Linked DNA regions of Pelodiscus sinensis. The protein of the gene in region 2 purifies or fractionates together with the protein of the main gene of each other region. This does not show direct contact. Links are inferred from orthologs where the notes say so. Each region holds a gene or a part of one and is shown on either strand. Other genes may lie near its edges.

What was found. The genes of interacting proteins can lie anywhere in the genome.
Region 1: the proteins of AP3M1 (region 2) and RABL6 purify together in Homo sapiens (co-immunoprecipitation; 3 studies listed by BioGRID and IntAct, counting the BioPlex papers as one, with this or other methods). This does not show direct contact. The link is inferred for Pelodiscus sinensis from reciprocal best matches to the Homo sapiens genes AP3M1 and RABL6.

The regions. Positions count from the first base shown.
Region 1 is NC_134732.1:400,698-407,567, forward strand, and holds the start of RABL6 (rab-like protein 6), read right to left. Parts: upstream 3,016-6,870; 5' UTR 2,750-3,015; coding exon 2,620-2,749; intron 1-2,619. Other genes in the region: CCDC183 (coiled-coil domain-containing protein 183), read right to left, coding at 5,170-5,306, 5,524-5,620, 6,263-6,391. UniProt on the Homo sapiens protein: May enhance cellular proliferation. May reduce growth inhibitory activity of CDKN2A.
Region 2 is NC_134718.1:7,351,491-7,359,160, forward strand, and holds the start of AP3M1 (AP-3 complex subunit mu-1), read right to left. Parts: upstream 3,017-7,670; 5' UTR 2,998-3,016; coding exon 2,886-2,997; intron 2,838-2,885; exon of another isoform or gene 2,765-2,837; intron 2,746-2,764; exon of another isoform or gene 2,570-2,745; coding exon of another isoform or gene 2,458-2,569; intron 1-2,457. Other genes in the region: ADK (adenosine kinase), read left to right, coding at 3,277-3,338. UniProt on the Homo sapiens protein: Part of the AP-3 complex, an adaptor-related complex which is not clathrin-associated. The complex is associated with the Golgi region as well as more peripheral structures.

The DNA of each region.
Region 1 (6,870 bases), on a different chromosome or scaffold from region 2:
AATTACACACTATTCTTGCTATGCCTAACAAATGTAAACCAAATACTCCTGTGGTATAACACAGAAATGCACACACCAGTTCGAAAGCCCTGCTGACCAACTTTTCTACATTTCTAATGTTAGTCTCTCCTTTCTCCTCATCTATGGCTTTAATTAAGATGTGATATGGGTTCTATTCCCTCTCATCTCCTCAAATGCACACACATGCGCAAAAAACTGAGCCCAACATTTACAAAGCAGATCTATTATTCCACACTGCTGATCTCCTCTCAAGCCTTCTACATTCTACCTACCCAGATCCACACAGATGAGTTAGTACTTACTGTGCGGTTGTCTCTCTATTTTCATAATGGATCATGTAATTATCACCTAATGTCAGGGTTTCCCAAAAGGTCTCAACCCACCTATGAGTCATAGAGGGTTTAGATAGGTTGCACGTAGAGATGTAAAAAATGTGCAAAAATAGTAACTGTGTAATGGATCAAAATTCTATCAGTTACATGGTTAAACAGTTTACCTGGGGACCTAAGGGTGCCCTCACTTCCAGGATCCAGGCTGCTGTCCCTGTGCCGTGGGCTCTGCTGCCAGCGAGGTCGTGGCAGCCAGCCCTGTGCTGCAGGCTTTGCCGCTGGCAGCATCCCAATGTGCACAAGGTCCCGGCTGCCAACCCCTCTCTTGGAGCCCTAGCAAAGTTTAACCGTTAACAGAAACCAATAAGCATCAGCTTATCGATTAACCAGTTAAAACTTTTACTAGGGATGTAAAAATCACATTTAAAAGGCTAACCAGTTAAATGTTAAGATTAATCGGGACCCTGTGGCACATGCAGGGGGCTGCTCATACCGGGCTGGGCCCAACACATCATGCTGTGGGCAAGGTCTGCTCTGACCTGGCTGGGCTGCCAGTTAACTTGTTACCCCAGTAAGCATGCCAGTAAGATTAATGCTTACTGGATAACTGGTTAACCCTTTACATCTCTAACTCTTACTTCCCTGGTTGCAGGCCTGGTGTGGAGGGGGAAGGGGCTGTAGAGGGAGCCTGTGGTGATTAACAGTGGCTCATCACCTCACAGTGGTGGCTCCTGTCCTACAGGGTTGAGAACAGTTTCCTATTCTGAGCATTGTGACGTGATGCAAGGCACTGCAGCACAACTTAGGTTTGGCCCAGCTACCCCTCCACAGCTGGGCCACTCCTGAATAGTGCCGCAATCATGCAGCAGGTCACAATGCCTGGAGCAGAGAGCTAGGTCCAGTCCCATAGGACAGTGACTGCTGCTGTACAGGTGAGTGTGAAACAGGCTTAGTCTCAAATGCACCTGAAGGGCCTCTTCTCTACACAGGAATTATGGTTGCATTGTGAGGGTAGATGGTTGCTATGAGTGGTCAATGCTACAGCCTCAACAGGGTAAGGAGAAAGCAACAGCAGTGGAAGATACTGACAACTTATGCTTTTCAGCCCTTGGGTAGGTCACAAAAGGAGACAAAATATAGTTGGTGGATTACTTAAGTAAAAAGTTTCTGAGACACTGCCCTGTCACAATTATTACTTATGCATGTACTTCACCTACTTATGGTGGCCCTCTGAGTCTCAAGATATATTTTCTCATTGGGAATAAGAGATGCTACTATTGCCCACTGGAAAACATTCATTAAAATGCAAAGAATTCTAAAAAAATTTACCTGTGCATAAACAGATATCTAACATGAGAATAACTGACCTAATAAAACTAAATATGGCACCTTCTTCACCTTTCATTAACATTTAGCATGGTAGAATGTCATTAAGTGACTATTGTGGAAAACAGCTACTAATGCTTGATGGGAAAATACTAGTTTTCTGGGATGCAGCATCCAAATATTGGTGGTGAAGGGATGGAAGAAAAGAACTTTAATGGACTGAGATTAGGAAGCATTGTACTCCTCCTGTACCTTCCAATAAAGCTTGGGATGTCCTGGGGAGGGGGGATGCAGGCATTCAGAACCCCCCCAGCCCCTAATATGGGGAAAGTTTTTTAAACAAGCATTACAACTCTGAGTTCTCTATTTTTCAAACAAGAGGTCTTTCCTATCTCTCCAGCTCCTGAACATAATGTGACTATGTAATGTCAAAACAAACTGTTCCGGGGACAGAAACAAGAGCTGTGTCTACACTGGTGGGATCTTGCGCAAAAACTTGCTGCCTGTCTACACTGGCCGCGTGTTCTTGCGCAAGTAAACTGATGTTCTAATGTATGAAATCAGGGCTTCTTGCACCAGAACTCTGACGCTCCAGCTCAGGAATAAGCCCTTTTGCACAACTATTCTTGTGCAAGAGGCCAATGTAGACAGGCAACATGAATTTTTGCACAAGAAAGCGCGATGGTTAAAATGGCCATTGGAGCTTTCTTGCGCAAGAGAGCGGCTACGCTGGCACGGATGCTCCTGTGCACACGCACAAGCCAGTGTGGACGCTCTCTTGCAACTCCTTTAAGGCAAGAACCGCGCTAAAGAGTTTCTGCGCAAGCTCAGCCAGAGCCCTGCAGCACTGTAGAGACCAAACGCGTATCACGGCACAAGCCTTCGCCAGGGCGGGAGCGGGCTTGAGAGGCCGCATACGAGGCGGGCGAGCCGCGCTACTCACTGTTGTACTGCACCCCCTTGGCGAAGCGGCGCTGCAGGGCCTGGTTCATGGACTGCAGCCCGGCAGGGATGTTCTTGTCGCGGCCGGGAGCCTGGTCCGAGCCCACCAGCTTCTTCAGGGCCGAGAACATCTTCCCGCCGCCCGCCCCGGGGCAGGCGCCTCCCGCCCGCTGACAGGCTGCGGCCGGGCTTACGTGGCCATGGGCGCCGAAGAGCCCCGCGCAGGCGGGAGGAGCCCGGGGCAGAGGGCGGCGAGGCGGGGTCTCGACGCTGCCGACGGCTCCTCTGGGCCGGGCTCAGCCCCGGCCGGCGCCGCCACCCGCTGAGGTGAGAGGAGTCGCTCAGCCCCCCCGCGCCGCCGCCATCTTGGTCCCTTCGCTTCTAGAGGGAGGCGCGCAGGCGCGCCGCGTAGCTACGGCGCCGCGCGCGGGACAAGAGAGTGACAGTGGCGCGCGCCCGCCGGCCGAGCCAGCCCTTCCCCTTTGGCAGCCGGCCCGGCCCACATCCAGCCGGCGGGCAGGGGCGTCCGCGGGCCGGGCTGGCGCCCTGAGCCAGGGCCTGCTCCCACACGGCCCAGGCCTGGCTGGGCTTTGCCAGAAAACCAGTTGAGTCTGCTGGAGTTGTCAGCGCAGCTCCGTGCACTGGCATGATTATCACAGGCCGCTGGGACAGCTGGTGCAAAGCCAGTCTGGCCACAGGCCGCCCTGGTCCCGCTTCTGCAGCATAAGTGGTAACAGATCAAACCTGTGGAAAACACCTGTCTGCCCCACATGCATGCTCACAGCCCCGCATGTGTGTTCTCTATCCCCCACATGCATGCTCACAGCCCCGCATGTGTGTTCTCTATCCCCCACATGCATGCTCACAGCCTCGCATGTGTGTTCTCTATCCCCCACATGCATGCTCACAGCCCCGCATGTGTGTTCTCTATCCCCCACATGCATGCTCACAGCCCCGCATGTGTGTTCTCTATCCCCCACATGCATGCTCACAGCCTCGCATGTGTGTTCTCTATCCCCCACATGCATGCTCACAGCCCCGCATGTGTGTTCTCTATCCCCCACATGGATGCTCACAGCCCCGCATGTGTGTTCTCTATCCCCCACATGCATGCTCGCAGCCCCGCATGTGTGTTCTCTATCCCCCACATGCATGCTCGCAGCCCCGCATGTGTGTTCTCTATCCCCCACATGGATGCTCGCAGCCCCGCATGTGTGTTCTCTGTCCCCCACATGGATGCTCGCAGCCCCGCATGTGTGTTCTCTATCCCCCACATGGATGCTCGCAGCCCCGCATGTGTGTTCTCTATCCCCCACATGCATGCTCACAGCCCCGCATGTGTGTTCTCTATCCCCCACATGCATGCTCGCAGCCCCGCATGTGTGTTCTCTATCCCCCACATGGATGCTCGCAGCCCCGCATGTGTGTTCTCTGTCCCCCACATGGATGCTCACAGCCCCGCATGTGTGTTCTCTATCCCCACATGGATGCTAGCAGCCCCGCATGTGTGTTCTCTATCCCCCACATGGATGCTCACAGCCCCGCATGTGTGTTCTCTATCCCCCACATGTATGCTAGCAGCCCCGCATGTGTGTTCTCTATCCCCCACATGCATGCTCGCAGCCCCGCATGTGTGTTCTCTATCCCCCACATGTATGCTCGCAGCCCCACATGTGTGTTCTCTATCCCCCACATGCATGCTAGCAGCCCCGCATGTGTGTTCTCTATCCCCCACATGCATGCTCGCAGCCCCGCATGTGTGTTCTCTATCCCCCACATGCATGCTCGCAGCCCCGCGTGTGTTCTCTATCCCCCACATGCATGCTCGCAGCCCCGCATGTGTGTTCTCTATCCCCCACATGTATGCTAGCAGCCCCGCATGTGTGTTCTCTATCCCCCACATGGATGCTCACAGCCCCGAATGTGTGTTCTCTATCCCCCACATGTATGCTAGCAGCCCCACATGTGTGTTCTCTATCCCCCACATGTATGCTCACAGCCCCACATATGTGTTCTCTATCCCCCACATGTATGCTAGCAGCCCCGCATGTGTGTTCTCTATCTAGAGCAGGGCTACTCAAGATGCGGCCCTGCAGCCCACGGTGCAGTTTGGGTTTACATGGGGCTGAACACACGGCCTACAGGTGGAAATCCCTTGAACATGACCTCCAATGGGAACACGCTCCACAACAGCAAGGCATCTCTCAGGCAGAGTGAGCATTGAAAGACACAAGAGTATCATGTGGCCCCTGGGGCTTCCAAAGTGGAGTAGCCCTGATCTAGACTGTAAGGAGCTGTTGCCAAGTTGCCTTGTTCTTGAAGTTGGGGTTGTGGAGGGCTTGCCTTGAAAGGGCTTTTTCTTTTATTTTTGCATTTCAAAGATGGCAACCTCACTGAGCACCCTGGCAGGATTTGTCCCTCATCAGCCCAAGCGCCCAGTTTTTCAGGGTACTGAGTGGGCCTGGGCAGCATGAGGCCAGTCAAGGAAAATGAAGTCCTTTATTGAGTCTGAAATAAAGTTACTTTTGGAGTGAGGCCGCGGCCTAGTGATTTAGGTGCCTTTCCTGCCTCCGCGTTGCTTCTTCTTGGCAGCCTTGGTCATGGTTTCAATCAGGCGCGCACCCTGCTTTTTTATCTCTTCTCGGCTTGGCACATAGCTGTGGTCAATGTCAGCAAAATCAAAGGCATCTGCAAAAGAACAAAGCCTACTACAGCAGGCTGGGAAACTGTGTCATGTGACAAATGGGGGCTAAATCCCCAGCACAGGTCACCTGTATTTGGGCTCATGGTGTCTTTGGTGGAGAGGCCATTGACAATGTTGTTGAAAACTCCCTCCAGAAGCTGGCTGGGATCCTCCTTCTAACTACAAGTCCACAGTGCCCACCCAATTCCAAGGCCTTCATACCTCTAACAGCATCTTCTTCATCCTCAAAAGAAATCTTCAGGTTCTGGCGCTCTTTCCTTGTACTTTCCTCCAGGAAATTCCTAACTTTTACATAGGTCTGTAAAAAACACTTCAGGTTAAATACTGCATAGGTGAGGGGAGGGGAAATGAGAATGGGAAGAGTAGGTCTGCATTTCCAACAGAAGAGATCATTTCCAGCTCCAGGACTAAGCTAGCATGCTAAATGTGGTGCCTATCTGCGGAGGTGCAAGGAGTGTAATTCCATCTCAGACCATGTGGCTAACTTTATTCTGTCACCCAGGAGAGGTGATCTAATTTGGGTATAAAGCCCCATTAAACCTGGCAGGCTTCTGCATTCACAATAGTGCAAACCAAGGCTGGGAGACAGTCTCTGGTTGCTTAGATAGTTGTTCTTGATTTCCCTGGTTTGCACTATTTTTACTGCACTTTGCTCAGATGCTGCTCAGCAGGGGCCTGTACATTCATTAAAAAAAAAAAAAGAAAGATGAGGGCAGCTGCAATATGCCTGGGGGCTCCTGGCCAGGTACCAGGGCAACCCCTTTGGCTGGGTAAAGTTTAGGCATTTCCAACCCATCAGCACGTGTGTTCTGGGGCCTCCTCCGGGCTCTAGGGAGAGGAGACCTGCTGCCTGAGGGCTTCAGCAGCAGTGTGGCTATCCCGTTGCCCAAGCCCAGCCTCTCAGGAGACAGTTCAGGTCTGCCAGGGAGGAACCGCACACCTCATTGTTCTCCTCCCTGCTGAAGTTGTAGGATGGGAGGTTGGTCATGACTTTTGTCAAGTGCAACAGCTTCGTCTCACAGAACTGCAGCTTGTCATACGCATCGCTGGTGTCCACGCGAATGTCACCCTAGGGGCAAGGCGACAAAGCAATAAACATAGTGCCACTTCCAGAGACTCCTTCCAGGGCCAGTTTCTGAGGTGGGAACCAGCAAGTGGGAATAAGCATCAAGGAGGTTCAGGACAGGGGATGAGAGGCCCTGGCAATTAGAGAATTGCCTGCTGGGTGCTAAGCAGAGGGACATTTATAAAGTGCCTCTCCCCACATACTTGCAGCCATACTGACTAGGAGGTGTTTAAATTAGCATCTGGCTCCAAACGCATGTTGGATTCCTATCCAAACAAAGAATGTGGCATTTACCACCCAGTTCCAGCCATAGAATCAGAGAACACTAGAACTGGAAGGGACCTTGAGAGGTCACCAAGTCCAGTCCCCTGCCCTCTCGGCAGGACCAAGCACTGTTTAGACCATCCCTTATAGATTTCTGTCCAACCTGCTCTTAAATATCTTCAGTGATGGATGATTTTGCGGAAAAACTTGCCAGTCTA
Region 2 (7,670 bases):
AGAGAAACAACATATCATGCTGACTCTGTTCTTTTAATAAGCTAGAACAAGTAAGAGTAACACCTTTACATAGACAGAGGGGATGAAAGGCTTGCTGACACTTTAAAAATTAGCTCTCCTGAGAATCAGGGATAGTGTTTTCAACTCAACAGAAGTGGAGGGAAAAATAGTACATGGCAGGGAGGGAGGACAGATTGGCTGCTGACCAGACAAGAACATGGCTGCTTGCTGATACAAGTAACCATTAGTGTGAGCAGAACAGAGAAAAAGGATGGTCTTGTTAGTTAAGGTTCTGGGATTCAAGCAGTGTCAATTCCATTCCCCATCTTCTACATGCTTTTTGTATTTGTCATCTGAAGAAGTGGGTTGTGCCCATGAAAGCTCATGATACTAGCTGTATTTTTTGCTTAGTCTCTAAGGTGCTACATGACCATTAAAAAAAAAAAATTAGATACAGACCAAGGCAGCTACCCCTCTCAGCATTTGTGTGACTGTCAGCAAGTCACTTATCACCTCACTTCTGCATGTGTAATCAGTCATCCCCCCCCCCCTTTGTCTAGACTTAGACTGTAAGTTTATGGAGAAGCAATTTTCTCTTAACATCTGTACATTCCACTGAAGATTCAGTGGGTACCCACTGAAAGCTGGATCAGTAGGGCTACTGGAATGAAAAACAGATCAGTAACAGGAAAGGGACTAAGCACAGAGAAAGATGACTCTGAAGCTAGTTGAAACAAAATACAGGACCATGTAGCACTTTAAAAGACTAACAAGATGGTTTATTAGCTTTCGTGGGCCAGACCCACTTCCTCAGATCATATAGCGGAAGAAAATAGTCACAACCATATATACCAAAGGATACAATTACAATAAAAAAAAAAGAACACATATGAAAGGTAGTATTCAGGCTGAAGCTAGTATTCAGGCTGTGTGTCATGAGGGACTCTTACAGATTTTTTTTTTTTTGCACTGGTGCTATCACCGGTGAAAACTGCCCTGCTGGGAACCCTAATGATAGCAAGGTGCTCATGGAGCTTTTTTATCTCCATCAACAAACTCCCCACAATAAACCTCAACATGGTTCTGGAAAGGGCTGTTTAGAAACTGGAGCTGTGTATAATAACACTCCCAACATTAGTGCCATTAGACAGATTAGTAATTTTCCCCTGGAGTATACAAGAGCCACTTGAAATTAAGCTGCAGCACTTTTCAATACAGTTCAAACGCACCAATTACTGACAAATTATCAGCAAATGTTAAATTTCCTAACAGACAAAGCTTCAGAGAAACCAACTGTTACCAACAAACTATTATTCTGCTGTTAATAAACTGAAGGCAAGGCAACACCAAAAAGAAAAATATGCAATAAACCTAAATAAGCACATGACCTATTTTAATCCCCTTTCTATCTTCCTGTTCTCATGCCATTGCTCATCACCTATACACACAGAGGGGGAGAGAGAGAGAGACAGACACTAAAATCTTTTCAGGGCAGAGACATGTATTTAGTGATCCTATATCCTGCCTAGCAAACTTAGCTGCTTTATAAATAAACTCTTTCACCAAAGAGCTTGACATAATAGATCACTTTGCTTAATATGTTATATTTCCAGAATATCAAGATTGTGGATTGCAATATTCTTGAAAGATTGCTTCTATGAAATACGTGTGGGTGTGATGATTAGTGAATGGGTCAGTTTAAAAACTTTTAAATAAAAAAATCCAGACTATTAAAAGACTACAAGAATTTGCTTCTGTATGCACATTTACTTATTCAATTCAGACAACAAAACCAACATGCACAAAGCGCTGCAGTGACCCGTTAAGCACTCAGTGCAAACCAAAATGTACCCATCCCACATAAATCTAGTGTTTTCATTTCTAGCTTACTTATCAGAAATTTAAGTGTTAAGACATTAACCCCAAATTTTTGCGTTTATATAAAATATATAAACGTCTCCTGTTTTCATTCATAAATGGGAACCTAAATATGATAATGGTGATAGATATAAAAGTTAAACTGTAAAACAAGCCTATTCATGGGGAAAAGGTTTCATACAGAGATTAATGTATAGAGACTAGGAAGATTAGTAGCAATTCATTTTCTTTTACACCACGGAAAGCTTCCGGGATCCAAAGTTAAACTCATTTGCAGTTATAAAGACAGTTCTTACGAGTGAAATACAATCTGAAATCCTAAGACTCAGGACAGAGCAAATTAAAAACAGACTCCGATATTAGATCTCATTACGGCACACTTATGGAGGGGAGAAAGCAACAGCTCCATGGATTAAAATACATTCAAATGTTTTAAAGTGAAAGGAGTTAGTGAAACTGAAGTGGATCTCTGCTCGACTTCGGGCTGTTGAGAATTTTTTCAGTAAGTTTGACCAGTCAGGAGATATTACCCAGCCGGACTGGAACACCAGGAAACGACACACCAAAGATTGGAAATACCTTCGATTGCTCCCGAACCTTCCCTCCAGCGCAGGAGAACCCCGGACCCACCTCGGCACGCCTCGTTTGGGGGTGAAGACAGCCCAGATGCTATTGCTAAGCCCACGTGCATTGCACTCCACAGTTAGCCAGCCAGGCAATCAATTCTCACGGGCAGCAGCGCCCGGATCCCAGGGCTGCGTGCGGAACAATGGAGGGACCATGGATTTCTAGGGGATCCGAGCTAGCTGCCACCAGGCCTTTGTCATGCAACCCCCCCACCCCACAAGGAGAGCAGCCCCGAGTGGCGGGGCTAACACATATTCACCTGCAGCGCCCCGAGCCCCGCTTCCCCGCAGCACAGCGGCCCCTCTCCCCCCCGCCAGCCGTGGCAAATATGGCTGTGAGGACCCGGCCCGCCCCATGCCTCCGCCCCCAGCTGCACGCACAGGTGGCCGTGGGGCTGCCTCCAGCCGTGCGCAAACCGGGGCTCCGCGTAAGCCGCTTGCAGCCGCCCCCGGGGGCGAATGCGCTGGAGTCCTTTGATGATGATTTTTGCATGACGAAGCAGGGGCGGGGGGGACCCAAATGCCCAGGCGGGGCTGGTCCTGCAGCAGGAAAAGCGCCTGTTGCAACTGGTCCAGCCGGAGCCGCGTTATTTTCACAGCGGGCACCCGGCTCCTCTCCACGTCTCCATCAGGCGCGCGGAGGCCCACTCTGCCGCCCCCCCCCTGCTTCCCCTCCTCGGCTCCGCCTGCTGCCGGCCGCCTGTCGCCCTGGTTGGAAGCTGCTGCAAGAGGCTGCCGAGAAGCCCCGGGGCTGCGCTGCTAGAGCCTGAGCATGAAGATGGCAGCGGAGGAACCACAAGCCAAGAAGCTCAAGCTGGACCCCCCCCAGCTTAGGTAATTGGCGAGGGGCGAGGGAGAGACTCGGCTGCACCCCGGGGGGGAGCGGGCAGCACAGCATAAGGGCGAAGTGCAGCCTGAAAGTCAAGCCGGGAGAGGCGCAGAGGAGGGCGGAGCGCACGTGCGCCGGGGCTCTGGTGCGACTTGCGGGCACTCGGGCCGGGGTCTGGGGAGGGGACGTCGCCAGAGCGTGCGCCCAAAGGCATCTCGAAGGACTCAGCGTTGCTTTTGCGGTTGCACATTAGCGCAGCCGCCCTCTCTGATACTTGTGGATATTAGAGTTGCCGGCCGGCTTCTTTTCCTGCCTTCTTTTCTGCAACACGTGCACTGGGATAGGCTCAGGTGGCTTTGTAGGAGTTGAATTTGCTGCCATAGAATAGTGATAGAAATGTAGCCGTGTTAGTCTGGGGTAGCTGAAGCAAAATGCAGGACAATGTAGCACTTGAAAGACTAACAAGATGGTTTATTAGGTGACGAGCTTTCGTGGGCCAGACCCACTTCCTCAGATCAAATAGTGGAAGAAAATTGGCACAACCATATATACCAAAGGATACAATTAAAAAAAAAATGAACACATGTGACTTGTCCTTTTCATATTTGTTCATTTTTTTTAATTGTATCCTTTGGTATATATGGTTGTGACTATTTTCTTCCACTATTTGATCTGAGGAAGTGGGTCTGGCCCACGAAAGCTCATCATCTAATAAACCATCTTGTTAGTCTTTAAAGTGCTACATAGTCCTGCATTTTGCTTCAGCTGCCATAGAATGTGTGTGTGTCTGTGTTTTAAATACCCCCGGTACCGGAGATTGGGGAATGGAGTGACCTTTCCTCTTTCTGAACCCTAGGGAAGGTTGCTAGATTTAGGTCGCTCTTTGGGGGTGTTGTTTCTACCGACCCTCGACTCCAGTCCTTCATTGGATCACCATTGCACCTTAAAGTGTGCCGGTCCCGGAGGCAAATGTGAATCAACGGCAAATCGCAGCACAAGGAACAGAGAACTTGTTTGTTAGTGAGCAGTGGATTTGATCTTTCTGTACAACAGGGCAGGAGCTGGGGGTTTCCAGTATCTCTTCTGGCACGTGGTAGTATCATGCATCTTGCCTTGCCTGAGATCTTGTTCTGAATGCCAGGCATTTGGCAGTGTCATGTGCTCTGTGTGTGTGTGTGTGGGGGGGGGGATTATTACACTTTTCCTTCTGTCACTCATAGCCAGATTTTATCTAAAACCAGATGATGTCCCTACATAATGCTCTGAGTACGGACTGAGGCACTTCATAACGGCGCCTAGGTTCTTCCTAGCAGTTTGGAATATTGGGGACAGAGAGAAAATGGGATGGTTGCAAAATGCAGATCAGTAAGTACTAACAGTTCAGCAGACAGCTGTGAAAGGAACAGTGTCCTTTTGAGGAAGCTGACAGTAGGAGCCGCAGAGGAGGAAAAAAATGCAAGTCTGCACTAATTCATTCAGTGACAGCATGGATGCCGCTGCTGGGTGTCAGGAAGGACACACTGCTATTAAGCATCTGAAGTAACTTCCTCATAGATGCCTGGGAAGATATTTGACTACAGGTTGGCCCTCCCTGGTCTGGCACCCTCGGGACCTGACTGGTCCGCGGACAAAGAAGTTCGGTGAACCAAGGGAGGCCGGGGGAGGAGGGTATCAGCCTCCTTGCAGGGCTCCTGTCCCCAGCCACTGGCCCCTGCCAGCTCCAGCACCCCCACCAACTCCATGACACTACAGGCTCCAGCAGCCCCACTGGCTCTGCAGGTTCTGCTGCCTTGCTGGCTGCAGGCTTTGTCAGCTTTGCTCACCACTGGCTGCAGGCTCTGCTGCCCCATAGGCTCTATGGCCCTGCTGGCCTGCGAGTTCTGCTGCCCCACTGGCTAGCTTTGCTCCTAGCCACCAGCAATCTCTGCCGCTGGGGCGCTCTGGTCCAGCAACATCCCGTGGTCCAGTGTTGCCAGACCAGAGAGTCCTGGACCACAGAGGTTCAACCTGCAGAAGCTGAAAAAGGGCTTAGAGATCCCAAACTGGGAAGCACTATATAGACATGCAAAGTGTCATGATTATTATTAATACGATGCTTTAGGGAGAAAACCTATTTTAAGAGACTAAAGCTATCCAGTACAATGGCATTCCTTGCTTTGTATATATTCTGTTAGCACCCAGGAACCTCCAACTGTATTTGGCACTGGGTCCCTGACCCAAAATTTTTTTCCCATCCCAATGTGCTTTTCCTTGCCGCTCCCATAGCAGCAGAGGGCTTGGGAGTGGCAGGGGGCAGGGAGCCACATGTGCCCCCAGAAGCAGGGCACCAGGTAAGTGCTCCACCTCCATCCCCCTCTTGTCCAGAGCCCCAGTGCCCTCTGTGGGCTGGCCAAATCTTGAATCCAGCACACCCTGTTTTGCAGGGTTGCTGGATTAAAGAGGTTCAAGTGTAGTATGAATAGACAGGCAAAACAGGGTGGAGCTGGGTTGAAATGAGGATACAAAATGATAACTTTTACTAAAAAATAGAAATTTTAGCGTGCTGCTTGTTTAGTCATTGCTAAACAGAAGTGATTTGCAGGCATCAAGGCAGAGTGAAGTATTAAAGATGGATTTAAAGAAGATAAGATGGCAGCACTGCAAATTCTGGTGGGGAATTTCCCCATGCATGGGAGACTGCATGAGATGCTTGGTACCCAGTCAGGCCAGGGAATCTACTATCCTTGGCAGAACACAGGCCAATGACTCAATCCCATTATGAAATACAGGTTTAGGTGGTTAAGAATCGTTTTACCTTTCGGAAATCAGAAAGCCAAGTTAACAGCTATTTTTCTTGTTATTGTATAGGTCTGAATGTAGGGTTGAATACTTGTTGTTCTCAGTTGTACGTATGGGATATTTTGATTATGAATATCTCAGGTGTTTAAAAAATGAATAAAAGACAAGGATGAAGTGACAAGTTGGTGTGAGTTCAGGTTTCCCATTTGTTATTTAAACAGGATTTTGGAATGGTTTAAACTTCTAATTGATTTATGCAGAGCTTATTGTAGGACATTTAAAAAAACCCTCACTCATCCATAATGAGAGCTCCACAACACTAGCCAGATTTCAGTGTTAATTCAAATTATATACCAAGCATTGCTGCATGATACCGGAAATACTTTTTCTGTTATCTGAGGAAAATAAGTTAGTTCAATGTAGGGATGTAAAATTGCAATTAATCAACTGTTTAAATGAAATGTTTAACCAGTTAATCGTTTAACCAGTTAATCGTTATCCTGTGGGCAGGGTACTGCTCCAGCCTAGCCAGACTGGAGAGCCTCCCTTCTCTCCCCCCTCCCCCCCCGGTGATATATTGTGGTTGGTCCAACTGGTGTGGAGTACCCCCCCTTTTTTCCAGTATGCCCAAGATACAGTGGGGCCAGGACTTCCACTGCACTGTAGCTGGACAGAGTCCCACCTGGGCATGCAGGAGAGATGGCTGCTGGCGGGGTGGAGGGGGGGGTTGCCCAGCAGGGCCAGTAGGGCAGTGGGGTTGGTGGCAGGTGGTGGAGCCTTCTACTGGTTCAGCAAACTCCCTCATCCAGGACTAGTTAGGTGCCAGAGTAGGGAGGTCCAACCCATATTAAGTAAAGGTGCTTTAACACTGGGATGAGAACAGTCATGACAAAAAGTCACAGATGACCTATTCTTTCTAAGGGCTAATTTACACTGCCACTCTTCTGCGCTGTAACTTTCTCGCTAAGAGATTTTGACCCCTCCTGCCAGCCCTAGCACAGCAAATTACCATAATGTAAAGCACCAGTGTAAACAGGCTCCTGGTGCTGTTAGCTACTCCCCTTGTGAAGGTGTTTTATGTGGAGCTCTGGGAGAACTCTGTCCCAATGCTGGTACCATGACTACCCCAGACAAAACCCAAGTTAAGTTTGACATTTTTTGTGTCAGTGCATCTATTGGGGTACAGGCAGTCCCCGGGTTACGTACAAGATAGGGACTGTAGGTTTGTTCTTAAGTTGAATCTGTATGTAAGTGGGAACTGGCATCCAGATTCAGCCGCTGCTGAAACTGATCAGTTTCAACAGCGGCTGAATCTGGACACCAGTTCTGACTTACATACAGATTCAACTTAAGAACCCCAGGCATCCCCAAGTCAGCTGCTGCTGAAACTGATCAGCAGCTGATTCTAGGAAGCCCGGGGCAGAGCAACTCTGCCTCGGGCTTCCTGTAGTCAGCCGCTGGTCAGTTTCAGTAGCGGCTAACTTGGGGACGCCTGGGGCAGAGCAGCTGGGGTGCTGCCGGGTTGGTCCAGTAGCGCCAAGGAGCGGTGCTGCGGCAGA